2 linked regions of the Struthio camelus genome follow. The protein of the gene in region 2 purifies or fractionates together with the protein of the main gene of each other region. This does not show direct contact. Links are inferred from orthologs where the notes say so. Each region holds a gene or a part of one and is shown on either strand. Other genes may lie near its edges.

Region 1 (7,624 bases), on a different chromosome or scaffold from region 2:
GTTCTTGTGCAGGTTCTTCCTGAGCATTTACTATGAATGAGCACCACGCAGATTCAGTGATCTTTGAGAGCTGTCTTGAACACAGCCTGCCACTATCCCTAGCTGGGTGCTTTGCACACAGCACATTCTGTGCTAGTAAAACGCTTATCCATGCAGTTATTTGGCTGTCCAGTGCAGCAGACACCATTGGCTCATTCCCTTCTGTTTTAGCTACTAAGAGCCAGTGATGTGATATCATTACTGGAATGTGCAACCGCTTCGCTGATGGCGCTGGCTTTGGAGGGGGGAGGGAAAGAGCAAAAACCATTTTCTTTGGGAGAATTAACACTCATACAGGGTACTTGTCTTTCATTAGGGTCAATCTAAGATTAGGACTCCTTTTATCCTATCTGTCCCCCAACATAGGGACCCACCTAATCCTCGGTCTGGCTCTCAAAACACCCTAGTCTCAGCTCTACCTCCTCCTGATCTTTTCACCCCAAATCTGAAGTTTGGGGAATTTAAGTTCTTCTCAACCCCATTCCCATGTTCGGAGACATTCAGATTTCCTTAAGAGCATACTGATGATCTACCAGGTATAACAATCTCCCACCTGAGGTCAGACAGTCCTTTGTCACAGTTCTAAAAAAAAACAAACTAAGTCTTTGAGTAAGTCAAATCAAACTCAAGACAGGAATGAGTTATAGGATTTAAAGCAACTAGAAACAGCAGAAGGAAGTCAGAGGGCTGAGATCCCAACAAGCTTATCCTTCCCAACATGTGCTTTGCTACAGAAGCAACCAAACAGTACTGATTTCTGATGAGCAAGTTTGAGGTTGAGTCTCACTAGCACAACAGTTGAAAACCAAAAGGATGAAGGAATTAGTACTTTCACTATTACACTAGCCATTTTAATGATTGAGCTCCCCTTTACAAAGTTCATGTTTGCTCTCTGCTAAACACAAACAAACAAAGCAAACTAGCCAAATAACTAGTTAAACTAATCATCCATCAGCCACATAAGTTTTGGTTTAAGAACTGAGCATTATGCTCCATATGCAATAAAAACATTTAGACATGAATTTGCATAACAAATGAAGGAGAAGACCTGATGACCATTTCCAGTAACACTGGCAAGACCAATATCCTATAGCTACTTATAAAACACAACTGTATTCAACCTGCAACATACAAAGCAAAAGGGGCAATGCTGTCCTTCCACAATTTAGCTGCATTACCCCAAAACACAGATAAAGCAGCCTTGGTTTGTTAAAACAAATTAAAACAGTTATACTAGGATCACTCAGAGAAGGAAGAGTATTAAATTGTGGCTGTCAAGAAAAAAAGTCTGCTTGAAGCTCAAACATGAAACTGGGGAATGGGAGGGGAAAGGACAGGAGAGCTTCTTTGCATAAGCTTCCTCAGCTGTGGGTAACACACAGTTTTCAGACATTCACCAACAGGCCTGAGGACATTTTTCTACTCAAAGTTGCCAGTCAAGATCTTAAATCTCAAGCTATAAATTAAGTTTTAAAAGCTACTCTAGACTGGATAGTTCTGTAGCCACTGCATATGCAGACTTGCAGCCACTAACTTCTTCTGGAACATCACAAGAGGTGTTTGAAGAAGGAACAAGAGTTTCTAACAAGGTCATTTTGATCAAGCTGCATCCCACTATAAAGGGCATTTAAGACTTCTGAAAGCAGGTCTGGTCAAAAGATAATACTGCTGCTTAAAATTGATAACAAACTAGTCCTTACTTCACAGGGGAATCTTACTCTACTTTGTAAGGGATAAGCCTGCTGTAGGCTTGCCTTTTACATTCACCTCATCCATTCAACCCTGCCTTGCTACTTTAAGCCTCAAAAAAGTGACATTTCTGCTTCCTTGACTAGGGAGCCTCTGGCGCTACCTCAAAGACAACAAAAGAAGTCTTCTGTTATTGAAATGCCTTTTGAAGGACAACGTTCAGCTATGAACTATTTGTAGCTAACAAAAGATAGCTATCTGCTATCTCCCTGAACCCTTGCTTAACTATATTTAGTTAGGCTGCTTATGAATATACAAAGTCACCCACTATACTCGTTTCCTGCACAGCGTCGGGAGACTGTTTTGTCTACAGTGACATGCCGTACGGAGTCAGTGCTATCCGACAGCCTCTCCGCGTTTACGCTTACACGGCTGCTGGTGCTGCGTTAAACGCGAAGCGTTCACCCTCGATTTCCTACCACGACAAGGAACAGACGTAACCGCGTGCAAGGCGGGTGCTCACCCAGCTTAGGCCGGAATTACAACTTGCGAGTGAGGTTTGTGCAGCACGGAGAGAGGGAAAAACTGCAGGCTGCGGCGTTAGCGCAAGAGGCAGAAGGGCAGGCCCGGCGAAAGGAGCGGGGCGCCGCCAGCTCGCCCGCGGGCCGAGCGGCACAGCAGCAGCTCGGCCCGGCAAGTCCCGCTCCCTTACGGACTTCAGCATTTAAATCCCTCAGAGAGCACAGGCGCGCCAGCAGGCCCCAGACGCCGCGGCGAAGCTTCAGCAGCGGCAGCTCCCTTCAAAGGCCGCCGCCGCCGGCTCCGACCCCGAGGCAGAGGGGGCTCCCGCCCCAAAACCCCGAAAACTCACCTCAAAAACCACCGGCCCCTCCGGCGGGGCGGTCGCGCAGGTCCCCCCCCCCACACACACACCCCGGGAGCTGCCACCCCGCTGCCCGGCTACGAGCCGCCGGGACGGGACGGGCTGTGCTGCCCCCGGCCCGACCCGGCCTCCCCCCGCCTCAACCCCCGCGGCCGCCCTCACCCATCGCGGCTCCTCCGGCTGCGGCTCCCGAGCTGCGGCGGCCACAATATGGCGGGCAGCGACAGAGGGAGGGCGAGGGGAGAAGACGGCGAACGGCGGCCGCGAAGGGACAAACCTCCTCCAGCGCTGCGGGCGCCCCGCCCCTTAAAGGAGCGCCCCGCGCCGCAAGGGCGCCCCCAGCGGCCGGGGGCGGCAGCGCAGCACCAGCACCAGCACCAGCACCAGCACCAGCACCAGCACCAGCACCAGCACCGCCCCGTCCCGTCCCAACCCCCAAAACCCCGGTGGCGGGCAGCAGGCCAGGAGGAGAGGCGCCGAAACGCTCTAAGAAGTCCTTTTATTATAAAGTGCGTCGCCGATCCGCGTGTCCCGCGCTGCTCTCCCGCTCCGGGGCCGTTCGTGCCGCGCCGGCGCGGGGGCCGTTAGGTGGTGCGAGGCCGGCGGTTCCCACCCATGGCAATGAAAACGTCAATGGGGATGTTGGGCAGGGTCAGGCAGTGGCTCCCGGGGCATCGTCGCAGCTGCCTGCGGAGGGAGAGAGAGCAGGGTTAGCCCAGCGGCACGGCACGGCATGCCACAGCGTGGCACAGCATGACACGGCACGGCATGGCGTGGCAGAAAATGGCCCGGCATGGCCCAGCATGGCACGCCACAACACGGCACGGCACGGCATGGCACAGCACTGCATGCCATTGCTTGGGCTGCGTGGAGCAGCACGGCGCAGCATCGCGGGGCACGGCACAGCGTTGCACGGCACGGCACGGCACAGCGCACCTTGTCCCGAGAAAGCCCTCAGGCATGCAGGAAAGCGGGGGGCCAACCTGGCCCCCCCGCAGGACGGAGGGTCTCGGGCCGTTGGGGTGATGTTTTGGGGAGCAAAACAGCTGTGTTCGCCAAGGAGGGGACACGGAGGGGGCACAGCCCTTACCTTCCCGCGCTCTGCTGAGCGGCTACCGGCTCCTGCGTTTCGGGAGCCACGGCCAGGCCGGGAGAGTCGCCCGCCTCTATGGGAAACCTCCGAGCTTGCGGGGTCTCCTGGGAGTTCATGTCCGAGCCCTAGACCTGGGCGAGCGGAGAGGAGAGCGGGGGGGTTAGGGCAGGCGCGCGGGGCGGCAGCCGACCCCCCGGCCCCACGCTGCGGGGCGCTGGCCGGGCCCCGTGGCGCGTGCGGTGGCTCGGCGGCGTCCCTGCCTGAGCTGAGCGCGGTGGCGGCAGCGGGGCCAGGTGCTCTGTGACCCGCCGCGCGCCCCCGCATCACAATGCCGCCGGCACCCGCGCCACCGGGAAAACCCCCTGCTCCCCGCTTCCCCGGCTGGAAAAACTCGAGCTGGACGGAGAGGCGAGAGCAGGGGCCGGGTCCAGCGTGGGGTGCGTGGGCAACGCTCGGCCGCCCGGGGTCTTTCCCTGCGGGGCCACTGCCGGAGGTGGAGGATGCCGCCGAGGAGCGGAGCGTTTCCCGCGTGTCGCCTCCTGCTCCGAACCCCCCCGCCACCTCCCCAAATCCTGCCCTGGGGGGGAACAGAGCAGCAGGGACAGGACGCAGGGAGATCAGAGACAGCAAAAGGATGGGGAGCACCCGGAGGGCCCCCCAGCCCCGCACCCCGACCGCCACCTGCTCACGGCGCCTGCCAGGAGGTCGTTTCAGCGCAGCCCATCACCGCTGCCCCCGAGCCACTGCCCGTTCGGGCGCCCCTCCATCACCCGATTCACGCAGCGTCACCTGCATCACAATAGGACACGCGCATCTTAAAATGTCCCTAGGTGCCCCCTTTCCCGGGGGCTTTGCCCGGGCCGGGGACGCAGCGGCGCGGCGGCTGCAGCAGATGCCAGCCGGGGGCGCGGGCGGCCGCCGGGCGCTGGGATGCTCTCGCGGAGTTGCTGTGCGATGACCTGAGAGAACGGACGGGCCCGGTTTGCGAGAGGAGATGGAGGAGATTTTGCTCGTCAATGGCTACCAGTTGGGCAAGACCATTGGGGAGGGAACCTACTCCAAAGTGAAGGAGGCTTTCTCCAAAAAGCACCAGAAGAAAGTGGCTGTTAAAATTATTGATAAGAAGGAAGGTCCAGATGGTAAGAGATGACACCGGAGAGGACTCCAGGCTGAGGCTCGGTCTCTCCTTGGAGGCTTCTCGTTCTTGGCAGAAAACTAGTTTCCCAAACTTTCCTCCGAGGAGCAGGAGAGGAGGCAGCGTCTTGGGGGGCTCCAGCTGCCCCCGAGCTCCAGGGGGGTGGGAGAGCTCCCGCATTTCCCTGCTGCAGGCAGAAAGCACAGCCCGGGGCATCAGGCCGTGCTTCCCTGCGTCCCCGGTCCCTGCATCGCTCTGGGAGAAGCCCTGCAGGGATGCTCGGTGCAAGGCCATAAGGAATAGGGCCCCCGTGAAAGGACCTTCCCTCTCTCCACCCACCCCTTTGGCCAAGCCCTGGAGGGGTGACAGGAGCCAGCAGCTCAGGGACGAAGGGCCGTCCTCATCCCCGCAGTGCAAGCAAACCCCTCTTTCTCTCGCCGCAGAGTTTATCCAGAGATTCCTGCCCCGGGAGCTCCAGATCGTCCAGCGCTTGGACCACAAGAACATCATCCGTGTGTATGAGATGCTGGAGTCTGCCGAAGGGAAGATCTACCTGGTGATGGAGCTGGCGGAGGACGGGGACATCTTCGATTGCGTGCTGCACGAAGGGCCCCTGCCCGAGCGCCGCGCCAGGGCCCTCTTCCACCAGCTGGTCGAGGCCATCCGGTACTGCCACGGCTGTGGCGTGGCGCACCGCGACCTCAAGTGCGAGAACGCCTTGCTGCAGGGCTTCACCCTGAAGCTGACGGACTTCGGCTTTGCCAAGCTGCTGCCCAGGAACCGCAAGGAGCTGAGCCAGACCTTCTGCGGCAGCACGGCCTACGCGGCGCCCGAGGTGCTGCAGGGCGTCCCCCACGACAGCCGCAAGGGTGACGTCTGGAGCACGGGTGTCATCCTCTACGTGATGCTGTGCGCCAGCCTGCCCTTCGACGACACGGACATCCCCAAGATGCTGCGCCAGCAGCAGAAAGGGGTCTCCCTGCCAAGGCACCTGGGGGTCTCCGAGGAGTGCCAGGACCTCCTGAAAAGCCTCCTGGAGCCAGATATGATCCTGAGGCCTTCCATCGAGGAAGTCAGCTGGCACCCGTGGCTGACTAGCCCCTGAGAAGGGCTCGTCAATGCTGTCCCCAAATAAAGGGGACGGATTGCTTCTAAAACGCTGATACATTTTCACGTCAGTGTTTCCCACCCATCCATCCCGCGGGGGGCAGGCCAGGCCAGGCCTTGGCTGGCAGAGCCAAGATGATGGGTCTAGCCCATGCTCAGGCATTTCATCTGTTCACCCAAAGCCCCTGGCCTTCATGAGTTGAGAACAAGGCGTGCTTTATACGTGCTCCAAGGAGCTTTGAGCAGCGTTTGCCCACCTTCCCAAGACCATCTCAAGCACTGGCACGTCTCACACAGCCGGCGGATCCACGGCCGTGTGTCCCTGGCCACGAGCAGGGCGGGAAGCTTCACCCCAGCCCTTCCCCTGCCTGGCTAGCCACTACGGAGAAGATGCAGCCAAGGCACTAAGCCAAAGGACAGCCCAGCATGCCCTATCCCTCTCTTCCAGCATCCTCCCAACCAAGCGCATGTCCCTCGGCGGAGGTGGGAGGGAAAAGAAATCAAAACCAGTCCAAGAGACACAGACCCTCTGGGCAGCCCCCACCCTGCCGGCAGACGAAATGAGGACACCCAGTACAGGCAGCGACTCTGTAGAATTCCTTTAATTGCTGTTAACTGCAAGTCTGTAAAAGGTTTGGAGAAAGTCGTCATTACAAAACCACCAGCTGTTAGAATTGTTTCTGGTTTTCACCCCAGCTAGAAAAGGCTCAGGGAGATGCAGAATAGTTCAGAAGAGAGAATATTGCACAGACAACCAAATGGTTAATTGGACTAAAGAAAAAAAAAATGACACAGATGAGAGCGCTGCACTCTCGGCAGCTCCGCTGTGGGCCTGGGATGCAGCCAGGACTCACACCTTCACGCTCCACAGCAACACAGCCCGGCAGCCCCTGCCGCGGCAGCACCACGCAGCCCTTCAGCAGAAACAGCCCCACCAGTATCAGGGCACCAACCTATGACAGGTTTTCCTGCTGCAGCTAAACTTGGCTCCTGCCTCCGTACAGCATGAACACAGCAGCCTCCTCGGGCCGTGTCAGAGCCCAGGACAGGGCAAGGCGGCAGCACAGCTCAGGGGCTCTGCTGGGCCCCTTCGACGCCACGAAGCAGGAGCTGCGCTACAGCACGATCCCTGCACCTCGTGGCTTTTCCAGTACTGACAAGCTCTCATGCATGGGCCTGAAGTCACCACCACCACCCCCACACATGTGCAGGCAGCTGTGTTAAAGAATCTGCCCAAAGGAAAAATAACTCCCCAAGTACCCTAGGTTAACATTATCCAGAAATAGAAGGAAACCCATAGCTCCAATTAAGCAGCCCTCAAAGAGGCAGAATGACATAGGTACCACGGATAAAATCAATACTTGAAAGGCCAGAGACAGGGGCGTGGGCTCTGTCCCTTTAGGATAACTCTTACTAGCAACATCCACTGAGGGGTATTTTACAACATTAGGAGGACACCGCACCAGGGACAAAGGCTGTGGGTCGAAAGGAAGCATTGCAAGCAGTGGAAACGTGGTTTAAGTGAAGGACACCCAGTGAGCACAGCAAGGCTGGTAACCCTAGCAGCTACATGAAGCCTGGTGCAGCCAAGATGGGGGTTTGTGTGTTTGGGGGAGGGTATCAGATGAATTAACACACAGCCAGTCTCAGCCAGCAAGTACCATCTGCACTTGCCTAC
Region 2 (7,287 bases):
TAAGACGTACCGATTTATCTACTGTAGGCAACTGAAAACTCAACTACGGTGCTATTGACAAACAGCTTCCAGTGAATCTAACTGTGCCTTTATATTCTATACTGATGCCATCTCAGAAGATTTGTTGTAAAATATAGAATTAAAAATGTTTTGTTTTGAATTCTCCTTCTGTTTTCAGATGTTGCTACTACATGCAATCACCGTGTACTAAAGGGTATTTGAACTTCCCTTTACAACTAAGCATTCCTTGGTCTTCTCTGTATGTCCCCACTACCACAAACAAGGTCTTCTCAAACTTCTGAAATAGCCCTCTGCATACTCTCAGACAATGAACACAAACAAAAAGGTCTTTAACAGAAATCTAATATACACAAGGACTCTCCATCTATTAATGTTTATTGTGTGATGTTACTTTAAATGCAGCAACAGTCTGTAAAGACCCTAACCCACAACATGGAGCAGCAGCAACCAAGCACCAATTCTTTGAATATTTGTATAAAAAAAAAAATCACTTGATTACATGATTAAATCTTTATTTTGATACAGTACATTGCAGCTTGTCTTCTTCTCTAGTTCAAACATCTTACAAGCTTTGGGAGCAACCACACGCATGGTCAACAAGTGCATCTGTTAAGCATTCACTACAGAGCTCTCAAAAACGTAAATTTTATATTGTTCCATAAAAGGGTGCGACGTATTTTGTTTGTAAATACATCAAATCTGTTAGCGTGCACAGAGGATGTTGTAATTTGGTCATGAGACATCGGACCAGTTAAAAACACTACCACAGCAATGGGGGTGGGGGAGAGGAGGGACTTTGCTCAAGAGAAGTGAACCTAAGGAAGACTAGCCTCTAAAATCAGTTTCCCTTCATATGATGCAGTCTTCACAAATTGGAGAGACAAATCAAATACAAGGTGTAATGGAAGGCATGTTACACAAGAAAAACTTGCATAGAAAAGATAAATGGGGGAAAGAGTTACTTATTCAGTCCTTAATTCAGACTGGACAGAAGCTCCAGGAGTTAGCACAAACACTCCAAGCTTTTAAAAAAAAAATTTACCCTAAGTCTTGTCAAATACATGGAAATGAACAGCAAATATACAGAGCTGGTATCAACAGAAAGAGCAAAAAAAAAACCTAACAACCTTTTTTTTCCTTCAGAACTTTTCTTCAAAGAAAATTATACCTCTAATCACAAATACGTACGCATCCTATACAACACTGCCATAGGAAAAAAAACATACCATAGGAAAATTCAGGGTAAAAACAAGTAGTGGGTGATTAGATTATTTTCTGTGAATTTGTGCTACGTAAGAATAGCATTTCCTTTTTTCGCTTTAACAAATCTGTAGTCTCTGGTTTTAATATAAAACATTTACATATTGAAGTATGAAGTATTTCTAGTATATTGAAAAATTCCTGAGTTTGCAGGCCTATAAAATCAGGAAGTGGTAAAATTTTAATATAAAAATCTTTATTCAAGGAAACTGTACAACACAGCTGTAAGTAAAACTAGGAAAATCCATAAACAAAGTTCTGCAGAGCTTAAATTACAATTTCCTCTTGCGTTTACTTCCCCAAAGGTAATTGAATAATATTAATATGCCTTGAGAAAGCTAAATTAGCTTTCTTATTATGTCTGGTATATCCAGACATAATATGCAAGCACATTTTCACCTCACGAAAAATACTATTTGCAGAATTCTTCCCATAGTTTTATCACAACAATTTCACACGTTTTTTCCTTATTATCCCTTGTTAAATTCAAACCACTGTTCCGTTCCATAGCCTAGAAATAACGTGTTTGAAATATGCATACATATAAATCAAATACACTGAAGATTTAACAGAGACAAAGCCCAACTTGGAAGTTAACGAAGAGAACCTTCGTTTTGGGTCGTTTTCCCTCAGTTGTGAGAGAACACTGTAAAATACACATTGGCTCAAATAACTGCAGTAGCATAACAGTACTTAGGAACTAATTTTAGACCACGGACTCAAAGCATATCATTGCGGCCACTGTTAATCAGCGCTGTTTCTGGGGAGACAGAGCAAGCAGCTTAGCTCCTGCGCAACGATCGCCCTGCTCCTGCTCCCGCCCCGGGGATGCTAAGGCAGCCGTGACAGGAGGGGCGACGTGCACTGAGACGGCAGCTGAGGAGCCACTTCGCAGGCACTAGCCGGAGGAGCGGCGAACCGAGGGGCGAAGACAAGCGTTGGCTTGGATCGAAATGATCAGATATAGCTTTCCACCCAGCCTGGAGAGCGTGGGGGAAGCACCCGCAGCTCGGTCAACTCCCCGCTTTTTGTCAGCCGCCGCTGCCCCTTCCCTTCCCTTCCCTGCCCCGCCGCGGACGGGCCGCCGCCGCGCATGAGCAGCGCACCCCCCCCCCCCGCACGCCGCGCCGTGCGCATGCGCATCGGCAACCCCTGCCACACAGCACATGCGCTATCCCCGTCCGCACCCCCTCCCGAGAGGAGGGGAGGGGGAAGGGGGGGAAAAAAAAAAAAAAAAAAGCACCCTCGGAGCATGCGCGCTGCCTGCCCGCAGTTTCGCTGCGCGCACCTGAAAGCGAGTCGTGGCCCAGCGACTTCCGCTCCCCGCGGAGGCAGCTCATGCCGGCAACGGACGCCGCCGGCTCGCGGCCCATCTCCTCACCCTCTCCCTTTCTCCCCTCCGGCCGGCGCCGCCCTTCGCTCACCAAATAACGCGCCTGCCAGTCGTTAGTGGCATCGATCTCCTGGAACTCCTGCTCGATGACGGCGGACATGGCGGCGGTGGCGGCCGGAGCGCGAGTGGCCGCTGGCGGCCGACAGGCTCATACCCCCTCGCGCGCCGCCCAGCCCACGGGAGCGGCCAGCGCGCTGCTCTCCGCCTCGCCGCGCGCGCACATACGCTCGCAACGGGACCCGCTGCTGGTGGTGGTGGTGCCGCCGCCGCCGCCAGGCGCATGCGCGCCCCGCGCCTCCGCCTACCGGGCCACGCCCTCCCGGAGGGCGGGGAAAGCACCTGGGGTGACGTCACGGGGCGGGGGCACGGAGGGGCGGGCGGGGGCGCGCAGGTGGTAGCTGTTGGGCGGTGCCCTAACGGTTCCGGCGCGGCCTCGCCCGGTCTGGGGGCGGGGGCGGCCCCGCGCCGCCGGCTGCCGCGGGCGGGAGGGGAGGGTCCGGTGCCCCTCTGCTTCCCTGCCCTCTCCGTGCGAGAGCTCGCGGCAGGGAAACGTTGGGCGCTGTTAACGGCTGTAGCCCCAAAGAGGCAGCTGTGGAAGGAGGGCAGGCCGCGTGGCCGGAAAGCCTTTTCTTCACTCACGAAGTAGCTGCCGACCGTAGGTTGCTCCTGGTGTGAGCAAAAGACGGTCGTGTTTCGCTAGAGAATGAGCGCTGTTGAACCATACTCGGCAGCGCAACACAAATCGCGAGTCCTTGACCTGATTCCGCGCTGTAACGATTGAATGGACTGCGTTCAGCATGTGCTCTCGGTCTCACGTACATCATGTAGCTCTACGTGGTTCAGCTTTTCCACGTTGCCTATTTTAAAAAGCAGAAGTACAAAAATACGAGTGTGTCGGACAATCAAATCACTGTAACTCATACCCCTGTTGCAATCTTAAAAGCAGAAATACAAAGAGGCAAAACACACCAATCCTCTGTGATTGCTTCAAAAAGAAAGCCCCTTATGAAAGAGCTTCACAAGCGTTCAGCAAAATTAAAGGTCATACAAAGTTTAGCAAGGGCTCAGTTGCTCAAGCTTCAGGGAAATCTGCTTTACCAATTAACATAATAGAGAAGTTGCTTTTAGCTCTTGAGGCAGGCGGGCTGCCCTTCGTACCTCAGCCCACATCGCCAATTAACATAGGGGGATTGCAAAATGTTTGATGTTAATGAGAAAGGGGAAGAAACCTGAGTCCCAGTCCCCCCCACCACCACCTCGTGTCACAGTGAAGCTGCCGGTGGCCTTGCTGCCCCTCTGCCCGCTGTTCGCTTCGGCCTGCCCCTCTCTCCGCCGCCAGCTCCGGGCCGCCTCCATCCCCTCGCCGCTCTCACCACCTGCGAGCGCTTGATGCTGGCATCGCCCTGCGCGAGGCCGAAAGCCCCTGGCTGGAGCAGGCTGAGCTGAGCTCGCGCCCCCACCTCCGCAACGTCGTTTTTCGCTGGAAAGGGTCAGTCGGCGTTACGTGAGAGGTGCGTGTGTGCTTACGCAGCTACGTTTTTTTTGAAGCAGATTTCTGTTTTGCACGTCCAAATATCTGCCATCAGCTGTTGCATTTCCCTCCTGTCCGGGGGCTGCAATGCAGTAAAGTGCTCCAAATCCAGTGGCTGAAGTGCTCTCTCACGTTATATAATGAAAGTCATTATTTTTTACACTCTTTGGAGGGCTGCATCGGATATATCTCTGAAGCATAGCTGATGGGACATTATACATCAGTAAGTTCGTAGCGTGTTTTTGCAGGCACCTGACTGAAATCCTCAGCAATTTTTCCTTGAATTGTGAGTCCAAACTTTGGAAGATTTGTAGGGATTAGCTTTTCTGCATCTTTCTGCCTGCAAGACTGAGGAACAGGTTATCTGTAGTTTTGCAGGTGTGCTCTAATTAATGAACGTGCCACATGTGACTCCTTCTGAAATATAAACAAGACAACGTGTGTGGTTTAAGTTGGTGATTTAGGAAAGCAGAGAAGAATTTAAGTGCCCATCCTCAACGTGAAGATTCTTTTTGATTAAACCAAAATGTAGATTAATTTAAATCCACATTTCAATGAGCAAAAAGTGTTCTTATCTCTAGGAGGTGTGATCTTGCACAGGCTGCGTGTAGGAAAGTAAACAGAAGAACAGAAACTGTCTGCCAGTTAACAAACCTTAAACAAATGGAACACAGCTTCCTCACCGATTTTAACCTTGAGTAGACTTTTCTCTGGGTGTGAACTTGCTGACCAGTCCGTATTTGTAGGCAAATGGCCTAACTTACTGAAGCACCGTGTCCTTTTTTACCCTCAGCAGTAGCTCCTAGACCCCAAGATGCCCACAAAGCTGTCTGATGCAGGTCCCAGCCAGAGGAAGCTCCCACCACGGTCCCATCGGTTGAGAGAATGAAGAGTGATGTTGCCCAAGCACATGTTACTTTCCAAGGCCAGGAAGGCTTGGAGGTCGCTGCCCGTGGAGCGTGAGTAGACGTCACGCTTGGGTCCAAGGACAGCTCTGTCAGCTAAGGAGCCCTCTGTGTGCATCCCAGCTGGGCGGCTCATTGAGGCATCGGTGAGCTTTGAGAAGGATGCAGGAGGAGAGGAGGAGTGTGTATTAACACAAAAGCACATGATTTCTGCTCTTCTGATAACCGTCCATATATTAGAAGCTTGTGCTCGTCTTTGCTTATGATATTTGGGGATGTGGTTAATACTGTGAAAGCAACTTACTTACGTTATTAGGAGAGGGGGTTCTATGGTAGCAGTTATGTTTAGAATCTGTAATGCAAACCAGGGCCTGGAGACAGCTCATGGAAAAGTAACGTAACTGTTTATTAATTGTGATTTACATGTGGATTAGAAGAGCATTAACTGGTAAATCAGGGGTTTCTGCAAAAATTGCCATCTTTTGATCTTTGATGATTATTTTTAGTGCAAATATTCTGAAAAGATTGTAGCAGTTCTCTCTTTTCTGGGAACGAAGTCAGGGGTAAGCCCAGGACTACAGTTATAAAGGTCTGTGGAGGAGAATTGTATCTACAACATAAACCCAGTACACTCATTAGAAAATTTTATTTATTCTGCTGCCAATAGTATCTTCCCGTTCTGTACTAGTTGTGCAGTCAACCCCAGATGAACTACTATATAAACTCTTAAACTCTTGAGACAGAACGAGACATACACACAGCGGGATAATGGAGTTGCTGGAATGTGTGGTATATTGTTATTGTCTTCTGCCTTAGTTATAAATCCAAGCAAGTACTTATTGCAGTGTTTTTCTGTTAAAATGCCTGCCCTAATTTGAGAAGCCCCTTGCTGTTCTGGCAAACAGATAGTCATCCGGCAAACAGAGAGTCATCCTAAGGGAGTTGGTATCCACAGCAGTTCTGATCTCAGAATTGCTTTTGGTGCCCTGGAGAGAGTTATGTACACTGTACAGTATTGTCTGCACAGCAAATGTAAAGGCTCTCGGTGCTTGCTCATCTAAATGAAAAAGACCAAGTCAGGTAACTTTAAATGCTATTTGCCCAGTGAGCTTGTCCTCACAATTAACTTTAGTACCACTCTGGAGTGGACTAAGTGCTTGTTCCTCCACATTTTCATTTTTGGGTCATTCACTGGAAATTACCTAAGTATCACTTACTGGAAATGATCCGTGTTGTGCTGCTTTTCTGAGAATCATTTAAGATATTGGTAGATGAAGAACAAGTTCTTCCCTGAGGTGATTTTATCCACAGATACACTCCATATCGATATTAGCCTGTAAGGAATAAAGCTGCAGTGTGCTGAAGCTTGCCAGGGTGTGAGAGCATGGGAACATATCATTCCTGATTTAAGTCTTATGGCTCAAGGCCTAAAGGACAAGTGGATCCTCCCTTCCCCCCAAGAGCTGGATAGGAATGGAAACCCAGAAGGGCTGTGCACACTTTTGGCATCTGATAGGGAGCAGGGGAAGCTGAATAAAAGGATCTGATGGTCAGGATGAAACAGTGTTCATTCACCCTGTGCCTGTACAGTGGAGCCTTACTATTCTGGACAGCTGGGGACCGTATTCCTTGTTCAGAGGAACTTGAAAGCTGCCATCACTGAAAGTGTTTGCCAATGCAAATACCTTTCTTCAGTTATACTATTGATTCCTTCCTCCTCAGTAGTATTTTGGCATAAAACAAAATAAAAACTTTAAAATGTATGTAGCAAAATAAAAATACTTGTAGCAGCAACAGTGGCAGAAGCGCAAACAGCCCTAACAGCTTAGCATTCGGCTAAACAAGTCTATTAGCCACAGATCCACAACAGTGGCAGTGTCCAAAGTGTGTTTAAAAATGGCCGTGTTGTAAAAGCGAAGGAAAAGAGAGAATCTTGCGTGTCGGGGATGGTTTGTGTATGTTACTCATTTTTTTTTCCGTCTTTGCTTTCTACCCTAGCTATGGTGATGTTTATTCAAATGATAGTTTGCAAGTGAGAGAGTCTAATTCAGAGAGTGTCCAGAATGGGTTGATGCTCTCATTTCACATTCCTGGTTAAAAGGTCATTAATTCAAAAAATTTCACCTGATCTCTGGTGCCATTAATTAAAGCCTCTTTAAAGTTGGTGGATTTAGAGT

The links. The genes of interacting proteins can lie anywhere in the genome.
Region 1: the proteins of PTPN2 (region 2) and KPNA6 purify together in Homo sapiens (affinity purification with mass spectrometry; 3 studies listed by BioGRID and IntAct, with this or other methods). This does not show direct contact. The link is inferred for Struthio camelus from reciprocal best matches to the Homo sapiens genes PTPN2 and KPNA6.

What each region holds. Positions count from the first base shown.
Region 1 is NC_090964.1:8,518,939-8,526,562, reverse strand, and holds the start of KPNA6 (importin subunit alpha-7), read right to left. Parts: upstream 3,012-7,624; 5' UTR 2,778-3,011; coding exon 2,774-2,777; intron 1-2,773. Other genes in the region: TSSK3 (testis-specific serine/threonine-protein kinase 3), read left to right, coding at 4,699-4,843, 5,283-5,944. UniProt on the Homo sapiens protein: Functions in nuclear protein import as an adapter protein for nuclear receptor KPNB1. Binds specifically and directly to substrates containing either a simple or bipartite NLS motif.
Region 2 is NC_090943.1:113,532,552-113,539,838, reverse strand, and holds the start of PTPN2 (tyrosine-protein phosphatase non-receptor type 2), read right to left. Parts: upstream 3,003-7,287; 5' UTR 2,775-3,002; coding exon 2,706-2,774; intron 1-2,705. UniProt on the Homo sapiens protein: Non-receptor type tyrosine-specific phosphatase that dephosphorylates receptor protein tyrosine kinases including INSR, EGFR, CSF1R, PDGFR.